Linked DNA regions of Cricetulus griseus. Each later gene encodes a partner of the first gene's protein in a complex. Links are inferred from orthologs where the notes say so. Each region holds a gene or a part of one and is shown in the gene's direction. Other genes may lie near its edges. The genes, in order: Itpr1, Prkg1 and Cnn1.

The links.
Region 2: Itpr1 (region 1) and Prkg1 share a complex: the UniProt entries of both Homo sapiens proteins name them as parts of the cGMP kinase signaling complex. The link is inferred for Cricetulus griseus from reciprocal best matches to the Homo sapiens genes ITPR1 and PRKG1.
Region 3: Itpr1 (region 1) and Cnn1 share a complex: the UniProt entries of both Homo sapiens proteins name them as parts of the cGMP kinase signaling complex. The link is inferred for Cricetulus griseus from reciprocal best matches to the Homo sapiens genes ITPR1 and CNN1.

The regions. Positions count from the first base shown.
Region 1 is NC_048601.1:36,108,883-36,112,532, reverse strand, and holds part of Itpr1 (inositol 1,4,5-trisphosphate receptor type 1), read left to right. Parts: coding exon 1-124; intron 125-621; coding exon 622-763; intron 764-1,337; coding exon 1,338-1,491; intron 1,492-2,513; coding exon 2,514-2,701; intron 2,702-3,650. UniProt on the Homo sapiens protein: Inositol 1,4,5-trisphosphate-gated calcium channel that, upon inositol 1,4,5-trisphosphate binding, mediates calcium release from the endoplasmic reticulum (ER).
Region 2 is NC_048596.1:30,845,805-30,849,454, forward strand, and holds part of Prkg1 (cGMP-dependent protein kinase 1), read left to right. Parts: intron 1-848; coding exon 849-988; intron 989-2,443; coding exon 2,444-2,533; intron 2,534-3,650. UniProt on the Homo sapiens protein: Serine/threonine protein kinase that acts as a key mediator of the nitric oxide (NO)/cGMP signaling pathway. GMP binding activates PRKG1, which phosphorylates serines and threonines on many cellular proteins.
Region 3 is NC_048597.1:134,990,309-134,994,632, forward strand, and holds the start of Cnn1 (calponin-1), read left to right. Parts: upstream 1-1,505; 5' UTR 1,506-1,588; coding exon 1,589-1,651; intron 1,652-3,371; coding exon 3,372-3,493; intron 3,494-4,324. UniProt on the Homo sapiens protein: Thin filament-associated protein that is implicated in the regulation and modulation of smooth muscle contraction. It is capable of binding to actin, calmodulin and tropomyosin. The interaction of calponin with actin inhibits the actomyosin Mg-ATPase activity.

The DNA.
Region 1 (3,650 bases):
TCAGGGCATCCTTTTGCCGCCTCATGCTTCATATGCATGTGGACCGTGATCCTCAGGAGCAGGTGACCCCTGTGAAATACGCCCGTCTGTGGTCAGAAATTCCCTCCGAGATCGCCATTGATGAGTAAGCCTGGGTCCAGCTTCCTGTAGAGATTTTATGTCACTTAAAAATCCGATGACTCTAATGTTTTGTGTACCAGGAGATAAACCACATACATGACCTAGTAAAATCATAGGAAAAAAAGAACTTTTTTTTCCTTTCAGATTTAAATAGAATTGTGTAGCTAGCAAATATTGTTTACTTCCTCAAGGAAATAGGATGCCAGGGCTGTGTTTTTTCTGTCTCTTATTTAGGCCTTTCCCTCTGGAAATATCTGAGTGTGTACTGTGTGCCAACATTGAAGAATATTACTGCAGAATCTAGAAAACTACCTCTATGTTAGTGGGGACAGACAGACAGTAAACATGATGAGTGGCTGTATATGTAAGCAACCATGCTAAGGAAGGAGGTGTAAAGTTGGGCCCAGGTTGGGGGATGCTGTCTTTGGAGGCTGAGCAGCCTGAAAGGGTCTGGCTGGGAAGAGTTTGACATTCTCCTTCCTTCTCTCTCTCTTCTCTCAGCTATGACAGCAGCGGGGCTTCCAAAGATGAAATTAAGGAGAGGTTTGCTCAGACGATGGAATTTGTGGAGGAGTATCTAAGAGATGTGGTCTGTCAAAGATTCCCCTTCTCTGATAAGGAGAAAAATAAGCTTACATTTGAGGTAAGGCATGATGAGTGGTCTCTGAAGTTTTGTTAGCACTGGCCATCTTTCCGTGGAGTAAGTAGGAAATATTTTAATCCTTGGTGACTATGTCGCAGTGCTCTAGTTTTGAAACACAAAAAGAATTTGGGTCAGATTTTTTCCAGAAAAAATATAACAGTTGCCAGTCAGGTAGACTCATCATTTAGGGACACAAACTGTGTTGCTTTCATATTAAACTATTTCCAGGACCACCATCCATCCAGGAATTACGTTCCAGAGAACTGCAGTGTCCTTATCTGTATTCTTACTGGCTATGATTTGGTATGCCCTTGGCAAGTCAGGAATCCAATTGATGAGGCCCATTTCTTATGAACTAGTCATCAAAGCAAATGAGTTGTTTTGTAAGCTTGCATTTCTTAGTTTTCTATCATGTAAAACAAAATGAACTTTAACCAGAAACAGATAGCCAGATGTATGCTTTCTCTGACCATAGAGAAGAGCATGATCTCACAGGATTAGCTAGTCAGCATCAGAGTGAAACAGAGGACAAAGGTCATTGAATACCGATTTCCTTTTCTTTTAAATGCAACAGGTTGTGAACCTAGCCAGGAATCTCATATACTTTGGTTTCTACAATTTTTCTGACCTTCTCCGATTAACCAAGATCCTCTTGGCAATATTAGACTGTGTCCATGTGACCACCATCTTTCCCATCAGCAAGATGGCCAAAGGAGAAGAGAATAAAGGTAACAATGATGAGGAGAAGCTGAAGAGTGAGTATCTGAAGTGTCTGTACTGAGAGATGCCCTCCCGGCCCATGCTGTTTCACTCATGCCATGCCTCATCACGTGACATCCTATCGTGTCCTTGTCCGTTCTCAACATTGGGAACATACCAATAGAAATAAAATCTGGAACGGGTTCCATTGACTCCCATGCCCATCACTGTTGGTCATTCTGGTCATTCTCAGCAATTTACTTTTTCCTTCACATCTGTCTTGAGTCCTTCCATGTGTCTTATTGAATAATTTGAAAGTTGCCCTGTGCTTTGAGTGTTTAACCCTCCAAAACCCAAGTCCTGCCATCTGTTCCTGATGCTTCTGAGACACTTGATGATGATACTCGATACTAGGATGAAATAAAGGGCACACACTTGGATCTTGGTATTTCTTTTCACTTTGTGAATAGGAAAATCCATGACCGTGTGTTTATCTTTTCCTGTATTTGGGGGGTCAGAATATGCATAGTATAACCACCATGTACCAATGCTTAGTTTTCTATAACTAGGATGCAAAAGGTATTTGACTCAATTCTTCCTCTCTGTCAAGTCCCTGTGGGATGTTGCTTTGCATACATAATAGCATTGAGTTCTGCCATAGGGATGTTTTTATAGGCTCAAGAAACTGAGCCTCAGAAGTGAAGCAATGTATTCAGGACTTCTGTTCGAAGCAGCAGCGTTTGTGCCTGCTAACTTGCATTCTTATTGTGTGCACAATCACAAGCATACATCCTTGGAGCTGAGTCAAATTTGGTGCTGGAATTAATAAATAAACATGCCCCATTGGAGATGTCAAACCAAGTTCTTCCCACTGCTCTCAGAGGCCTTAAATTGGTCATGCTTATTAACCTCTTGGGTTCCTTGGGTCGAGAGAGTGTATCAGAACAGGGATGTGTTAAATAGTTTGCCTCAAAATACCAATACCTCTAATCAGATGCTTCAGACTGTCTCCGGGAAGGTCATGACCATGATCTGTCTTGGCCCTTTCTAGGCAGTAACGTGATGAGATCAATCCATGGAGTTGGGGAGCTCATGACCCAGGTGGTGCTTCGGGGAGGAGGCTTTTTGCCCATGACTCCCATGGCTGCTGCCCCTGAAGGAAACGTGAAGCAGGCAGAGCCAGAGAAGGAGGACATCATGGTCATGGACACCAAGTTAAAGATCATTGAAATCCTCCAGGTATGGTGCAGGGAACAAGATACTCATAGAATCTCTGCTTAATATCTCTTCTCTCTGCTGGAACAGGGGCAAAATGTTTACCTCATCCCTGTGTATCATTTCACAATTGACTCCCTTTAATTCTTGGTTGCCATTGTCTACCCCTTCCCATCATGGCTTTGCCTATTCTGTCATCCCAGAGCTTCCTTCGGTTACCTTAGCTCTACATCCCAGCCGGCCTCCCTTTCTCTGTCCAAGCCATTGCCTTTGCTGTTCATTCACTGTGCTTCTCCAGAGTTCTATTCGCATTGCAGAGCCCTCCTCTCCCTCCCTCCTCCTCCCCCTCAATGGTCTGCCATTTTCATCTACCCACTTACCCACGCAGGAATGTTAATTGACACCAGATCCATGTCCCTTTTAGCACTTGGAAAGCAAGCAATGAACAAAACCCACTAAAGTTCTGGTCCCAAAAAGCTCTGTTTTGACAGGGAGCATAGGCACACGCCATCCCAAAAATCAATGCTTAGTTATTTAAAAATAAAAACGAGTCAACTGGAAGCTGCAGAGATGACAGTGGTTAAAGGCATTTACATGCTTTTCTAGAAGACCTGCCTTCCATTCCCAGTACTATATGGTGGCTCACAACTATCTGTGACTCCAGTTCCTGGGAAACTGGATGGCTGTCTTCAGGCCTCCATGAGTACCAGGCATGCAGGTGGTGCACAGACAAGCATGTGGATAAAAACTAATACATGTGTAAAAAGTTAATTATTTTAAAGAAGAAGGGTGTGGGCTGATTCGGAGAATGCCGTAGGTGGGGGAGGGGCAAGGATAATGGTTTCTGATGGAGTTGTAAGAGAAGACCTCTTTAGTAAGGTGGATTGATCAAACCCAGATGCAGTGAGAGCTGGCCATTGTCATATCAGGACATCTTAGGATTTATGGAATGCGAAAAGTCTAAAGTGGAGTC
Region 2 (3,650 bases), on another chromosome or scaffold:
GGGCTCTTGGTTGAATCTCTTGTAAGCATGAACACACGCCTGCAGCCCATTTGAGATAAGACATTGGAGGGTCTCAGCCTCCTTCCTAGGCACAGGGAGCCATGTGGGCTGCAAGAGATGTAAGCTCACTATATTAGTCTACAGTGGATACAACTAAGGAGTAAGATTTTAAGATCAAAGGAGATTGATACCATAGAGCATGGTATCAAAAAAAGTGGTTTTTAAAAATCCAAAAAAGCACCTTGGTACATACATACATACATATATATATATATATATATATATATATATATATATATAATATAAACTGGAGGCAGGAAAAGATTGGAAAGTAAAGTGGATACTAACAGTTACGACTTATACATCTCCAGCTCCAGTAGGGACCAGGATCAATCACTAAACTTAACTCTAAAAGTGTTTGTGGATGAGGACTTTGAAGAGTATAAAGTCCCAGGAGATCATGTGATCACATCTTGCCATTAGCACATGAAATAGAATTTAAGAGGAAATTAGATGTTTTTTGATGAAGACTATGCATTATACTCACTCATTATATGAAATAAAATAAAACGTGAAATATATTTTTCCAATTCATATGGGCACAAAATTAACTTGTTTAATTAATAATTTAATTAATATGACCCAGCACAGTAAGACTAGGGGATGGTTATACATGGTGTTTGTAAACTCAGTCCCTCTAGCAAGGATATCATCACCCTGTGTGACTTGCGTGGTAGTTGGGATTCATTTATATCCTTTATGTATCTGCTCATTTGAGGACAATGGTGCAGTCTGGCATATTAAGTCTGTAGATTCTCGCTCATGTGCCGTTTCTATGTGTCTTTAAGGTCCAGTTGAAAAGTGAAGAATCCAAAACATTTGCGATGAAGATTCTCAAGAAACGCCACATTGTGGACACTAGACAGCAGGAGCATATCCGCTCGGAGAAGCAGATCATGCAGGGGGCCCATTCTGACTTCATAGTGAGGTAAAGGCACACCCCTAAGGATGGATGCACCAGCTCCAAAGGGCAGGTCAAGCGCAGCCCTTGCTCCCGCTGAGCTTACCCTTAATGTAGTGATTTCATGTTCCCAAGGAAGGCTGGGGAAAATTGTGTTTGGTTTTCTAAATATAAAAAGGTTTGACCCCATGTTTATTTTTAAAGAGAATCATATTCTCAAAAAAGGATATTTTTCTCAAAAGAGATGTCAACTCAACATTTCATTTTTGTCATAGCTCTGCAAACATCCTCATTGAACACAAGAGACAGAAAACAAAAGAAACAATTACCAAAATCAGTCTATTTAGTGTTAATTTTCTGAAGGATTATTTTTGTGTGTTTGTAGTGTGTGTGTGTGTGTGTTTATGTTCACATGTACTCATGAGCATGTGGGGGGGGTGTGCAGTTAAATGCACCATGTGTGTGGAAGTCAGAGATTGATACCTGTGACTTCTTCAGCCACACTGCACCTTGTTTTTTGAGACATGGTCTCTCACTGAACCTGGAGCTCATTGATTTGGCTGGGCTGACTGACCAGTGAGCTCAAGGTTCTGCCTGTCTCCGACCAGCCAACACTGGGCTTATAGATGGATATAGCTGTGCCCAAATTTCATGGGGTACTGAGGATCTGAACTCACAGCCTCATGTTTACCTGGCAGGTACTTTTACCATCTGAGTTATTCCCCTAACCCCAGTAGGTTTCTTTTATGAAATGGCAACTAATCTGTCTACCTTAATATTTTCATATTACTAATAAGGTGATAATGAAGCTCTTATATGCAAGAGAAATTTTATGGTCAATTTGCCAGTAATACAGAAAGTTAAGATATAAATTTAAGTTACTGTTTACAATCTATATTTATAAAATATGATATACTTTATATCTACATATTTTGTGCTTATGACCACTAAATTTTGCTCAAGGCCATGCTTGGAAAATCAGCAAAATAAGAATGATAGAACCTCCAGAAACTCTCATGTGCACATACCCATTAGGACTAGCCCAAGCCAGAAGCTTCTAGTGCTATAGTTTGTAAGTGTTAGGGGACACTGGCTTCTGGAAGACTTCAGTGCCTGTATCTCATCAAAAATACCAAAACTAGCAATCAAAACTCAAAACACTGCAACCTGAGTACTGGCTTTTATGAGAAGAACATTGCAAGTTATCTCTGTTATCTAGTTTGAAATGTTCAATACAATATTATAAACCCTGCAAGTTGAACCAGAACTCATTCCTTCCACCTCAGCTTCGTACTGCAAACATTCGATACGTGTGCTTAGTACCCTGGCTTAGCTATTAAGCGGCACGTATATGTGTTAAGACACCTTGTTGTAGTCCATAATTTTATATCAATATATCAACAAAATAACTCACCAAACTTAAAAAAATGTTTTAAAAGATAATAATGTTCATACTTTTGTTCTCTTGTTTACTGTTCACAGGCTGTACAGGACATTTAAAGACAGCAAATACTTGTATATGTTGATGGAAGCTTGCCTAGGTGGAGAGCTCTGGACTATTCTCAGGGATAGGTAGGAGATTTAAATCTTTTCTGTCATGTTTTGGAAAACAGAGTGGCCCATAATGGTCTACAAGAGGAATCCATCATCATCATCATCATCATCATCATCATCATCATCATCATAAATAAAATTATATTTACATTTTATGTATGTTTATAATTTCAAATGTAAACATGAGACAGCCAATAGCATATAGAATTTACTATAAGATATGTAAAACTCACCTTGTAACTAGTGGTAAGGGTTGAATCCACATTAAAAATGATCATTAGGAAATTATGTGATTATCAGAATGATCCAGCTCTACACCTCAAATTCCTCACTGTGTGATAACTTGGGGAGACCCAGAGCTGCATCGTAACTACAGTCTGTGTTGCCTGACACTTTAATTGTACCACTCAGTTTTCAGATAGCAACCCTATCTTTTATGGGGTAAATTAATCTTTAGGGGAGAAATCAATCCTCTTATTTGCCCCTCTTTATGTAAACAATTTTATTTGCCCTCCTGCCCTTCCTTAGGAGGTAAAATTTGCCTAGAGAGTACATATTTGTTTCTCTGAATTGTGAAAAGTTGTTTTCTTTATTTTTCTGTCATCTACATTTTTTTTGTTGTTTTAAAAAACAACTTTGTTTTCCTACAAATACTTTTTGGTTACTTCCTATAAAGGACCTGTGTTAGAGATCAATTCTAGAGCCTTGTACCTGCTAAACAAATAATCTATCACTGAGCTACATTCCCAAATATTGGCTTTTTGCAATAGGGCCTATTATGTAGCCCAAGCTGCCCTGAACTCTTGCTCCCCTTGCCTCTGCCTCCAGAGTGCTGGCATTGTAGGTGTGTGCCATTGTCTTTGCACTTTTGGAAAACTTCTTTTTCGTATTTGTTCCAACGGTGCCTTCAAGTTCTTCTCCATTGGATAATCACCACTACCACCCCCACCCCTGCAAAACTTAACTAGAGATAGCCCTGATGTCCCTAAGAGTCATAAAAATTTTAACTATCTGTTACTTTTTTAGATAACCCAGATCAAGTGGTTCTTTATAAATTCCTGACTAGGTTCTCCTTCCCAAATCTACCTGTTTAGTGCCTTTGTGTCTTCATATAGAGTATATATTCAGGCCTTTG
Region 3 (4,324 bases), on another chromosome or scaffold:
TGCACAGAGATTGATGTCATACAAGTGTCACTATCCTACACTTGACATGATGCAGTTGGAGCATTCAACCCCACGGTCCAGATGAGAGCTGTCCTAGACAGGGATGTTTACAGGTGTCCAACCAGACCAGCCTGAGCTGGCTAGAGACAGGGGAGTACTCATGGCCCAAGACCAGCTAACACAGGCCTTGGTGGCTCAGGTGACCAATGGATAAATAGTGAGAGAAGGTCTAGGATCTTTGTTTGTTTGTTTTGTTGTTGTTGTTGTTGTTTTTCAAGTTGCCCAGGCTGGTCTTGAACTCAGTATGTAGCCAAGGTCATCCTTGTACTTCTGAACATCCTGTATTTACCTCCTGGGTGCTGGGATTATGCACATGCATTACCAGCCTTGGTTTATGTGGTCCTAGGGCTTGAACCCAGGTTTTTGTGCATGTTAGGCAAGGATTCTACTAATAGACCTATGTCTTAGCTTCTACCTTTTAACATTTGTGTGTGTGTGTGTGTGTGTGTGTGTGTGTGTGTGTGTGTGTGTGTGTGTGTTTGCACATAATAGAGGTCAGAGGATAAGTTGCAGGAGTTTGCTCTCTTGTTCCACTATGTGAATCTTGGGGTTCAAACTCTGGTCATCAAGTTTGTCAGTAAACATCTTAACTCATCAGTCCATCTTGCCAGCCTCCTCCCACCCCTTTTAAACTAACTCATGTGTGGGGGAGAGAGATGGGGTCTCACTCTATAGCCCAGGCTGTGCTGGAATTCACTATGTAGCCCAGGCTGGCTTCACACTCTCAGGAGTCCTTTTGCCTCAGGTTCTCAAGTGCTGGGACTACAGGTGTGAGCCATCATACCCAATTAGAACTAGGCTTTTTGCTGCCCCAAGTCCACATGAGGGACTGGAGGGGATGGAACAGGGTACCAGATTGTTAGCAGAAGCAAAGCTTGGCTGAGGTTCTCCCTTGTGCCAGGCACTGCACTGGGCACCCTGGAGGTGACATTTTTTTTCTGATCTTTACAACATCCTAATGAGGCAAGCTCTATCACTAGCCCTTCTGTAGATATGGCAATAGAGACCTAGGGAGAAGGTTATGTGTTTAGGGTGATGTATGAAGATCAGTCAGATTGTCTCGCTGAACTACAGGGTGGGGGTGGGGGTGGGTGAAACGGGACGTGAAGTGGACACAGGTCCTGTCTTGGCATTGAAAAGGGATAGAGACCGGTCATCTTTGAGATAAGAAGACTCAGAGATGGGACATAGACAGTTGGCATGGGAGGAGGGTAGAGGAGGGTGGCCTGTGTGAGCAAGCCCCTCTCCCAGAATAAGGCAAACAGCCCCCTAGGTGGAAACAATGACACAATCAGCTTCCAATACCAAGGCCCTGACATCACGAGGTGGGGGTGGCCAAAGTGTGTGTGTGGTGCCACGCCCCTTGGCAAGCCCCTGTGGCCAATGGGACAGGCTTGGAAGAGCCTGGGGCTGGCCTCTGGAGCTTCAAAAACGTGTGAGGAGGGAAGAGGGTGCAGACGCAGGCTCAGCTGCCTTGTCCTCGTCAGTGTCACCAGAACCTCTGCTTTGCCAGAGCCCCCTGGCCAGCATGTCTTCCGCACATTTTAACCGAGGTCCTGCCTATGGCCTGTCTGCTGAAGTCAAGAACAAGGTAAGACCGGGGGACTGCCTAGCCTGGCCTCTGACAGACCCTGAGCGCCCTCCTACCTGTGTCAGGTGACTTGAGACCTGAGAAGAGAAGGAAGTTAAGGAATAGGGGCCGTTTTTTCTGTCCTTGGAACATCCCAGGGCCCTCGGTTACTTGAGGGGTGAAATGAGGGAACCCCACTATCCTTAAATTGAGGTAATCAGAGTGCTGCAAAGATTCCCACCTGCTCAGAGTCCTTGGTCAATTTTCTTGTTCCTGGGAGGGATGTAGGGGGAAGGGACAGACCCCTACCTTAAAAAAAAAAAAAAAATCAACCCTGCAGTTCATACAGCTAGAAGACACTGAGAGACATGGATGGGTAAACTGAGGCTTGGAAAGGAACAGCAAGGAGCTAGGGCCCCGGGTGAGGCAAGTGCGGACCCAAACCCCTCTCCACACCGGGATAGATCGATTTCCCGGGGCAGGGGACTGCACAGATTAGGAGAGGCAATCCCATTTGACAGAAGGGAATACTGAGGCTCTTCCTTTCCAGGGTCCCACAGCAGAAGTTGAGGGGAGCAAGGAGCAGGGATTGGGACCTGGATCAGGTTGGGGTATCCTAGGGGTTCAGGATTGGGGAAGCGTGGGGGGCGGGTGCTCCGCGGGAGACTGATGGCAGCGTCGCCCCCTCCCCCCAGCGCCGGCCCGAGGCGCAGAAGAGCCGCCGCGCCTTATAAGGCGGCCTTGGGCAGCCTGGGCCCGCGCTATATAAGGGCCGGTTTGCTTTATAAAGCCGGGCTGGTGGGGAGGGGGGCGGCAGGGCTGGGGCCAGGTAAGGGGGTGCACCCCTCCTCTCCCCATTCAGAAGAAGTGAGGCATCCCCCTTCCCCCCATCTCACTACCACCAGGGGCTGGGAGGCCAACAAGCAGGATTGCTGAAAGATCGTGAAGCGGGTCTTGCAGACAGGTTGGAGAGCGGGCGAGCCAGGAGGGAGATAAGAGCTAAGAGGCGGAGAAGGGAGCCGGTCGAATCCCACCCCGTACCCGGGAAGACCGGATCAGAGGGGTAGCTACAAAGCCAAGAGCCCCAGAGCTGGCTGGACAGGATTGTCTTCAGAGATGGGGACCCCAGACTGAGAAAAGGATAATGCACCACAGAGTTGGGGGACAACGAGAGAGACAAAGTGGGGCTGAGGACAGATTTAAGAAACACATTCAGGCAGGCATTAGGAAGGGTACAAAATAATCCCCATTTCTAACCAGGGATTCTATGTGTGATGTCCTGGGGCTCCCAGCAAACCAGCACCCAGGGGCTCCTTCTTAGGGTTCATCCCCGCCCCCAGTTTAAGGCATCTCCTCTTCCAAATGGAGAGTGGAGGGGGGGCTGGGTCAGGGGAAGCTAAGCCCCAAGTTTGGCTTGGAGGGGAAACCAAGGATCCAAGCGCCGCCCCCCCCCCCCAGCTTCAAGGATCAGGCTCTCCAGCCCCCTCTTGTCTATTCATTGGTGCCAAACCTCAGAATGCCCGGAATGGCCCCCTGGGCAGGTGCCACCTCAATCCTGGCCCTCCGCCTCCCGCTAGTCCTGCCCCCTTACCGTGGACACTAAGACAGGATTGCCTTAGTTGGGATGGATGAAGCAGGAGATTGGGCCTATCCGGGCTGAGATGGGCCCCAGAAGGCCAAAGCTCCTCTCTCTTGCCTGCTTCCTCATCACCTGTGCCTCATTCCTCCATCTCCATCTCAGCTGGCCCAGAAATATGACCATCAGCGGGAGCAGGAGCTGAGAGAGTGGATTGAGGGGGTTACAGGTCGCCGAATCGGGAACAACTTCATGGACGGCCTCAAAGATGGGATCATTCTTTGCGAGTGAGTGAGGTTCTTAGGGTGCAGACCGCGCCCCGAAGCCAGCACCCCACCTGCTCCATACTGGCCCTCAACATCACCTGATGATCCCAAACCTGGAACTGTAGTTAGACCCTGATACTTGATGCCACCCACATTCCTTCAAAGGCCTCGAAGACTCACTTGTGCCCATTACACAGGCAGAGATGACCGAGTCAGTTAGGTTTAAGACAGTACCCAAAGCCCTGAGGTGTTACCAGGCCATTACTTAGCTAGCACACGCTACAGGGCAGGCCTGTCTATGGATCTCAGTGGGCAACAGTGGCTGTTTATCTCCAGTTTTAGTGGCATTGTGGTGGTGTTACAATAGTTTATGTAGAATTCCCACTTCCCATATGTAGTTTATGTGGCTTCCCACTGCCCTCATCACTGGGGAAGATGAAAACCTTCACAGGAGCAGCCCACCATGGCTTGGCACGCACCTGGGATGCCCAGCACAGGCTGTGAGGTACAGTACAGTTCAGTGCAGAAAATATACATGAGCGAGGCTGGCTGAGTTCCACCCTCAGCACTTACACAGACAATCCACCACAGTCATTCACTTACCACTCATTAATACTGTGTTTAGAGAGCTCCTGATATACACAGGCCTTTGCTCTAGGTGTGTGGGGAGTGAACCTGGCTCCATGTGGAGCCCAGGGGGAGAAATTGGGCTGGTTCCACACCCAGCAATAGGTAATAGGTTTCATCACGAAGAAAAGGTAACCAAGTAACCAGCCAGATAATCACATTCATGCCATGAAGAAAGCCCATCGGGCTGATTGATGATTGGCTCAGTGGGTAAGGGTACTTGTC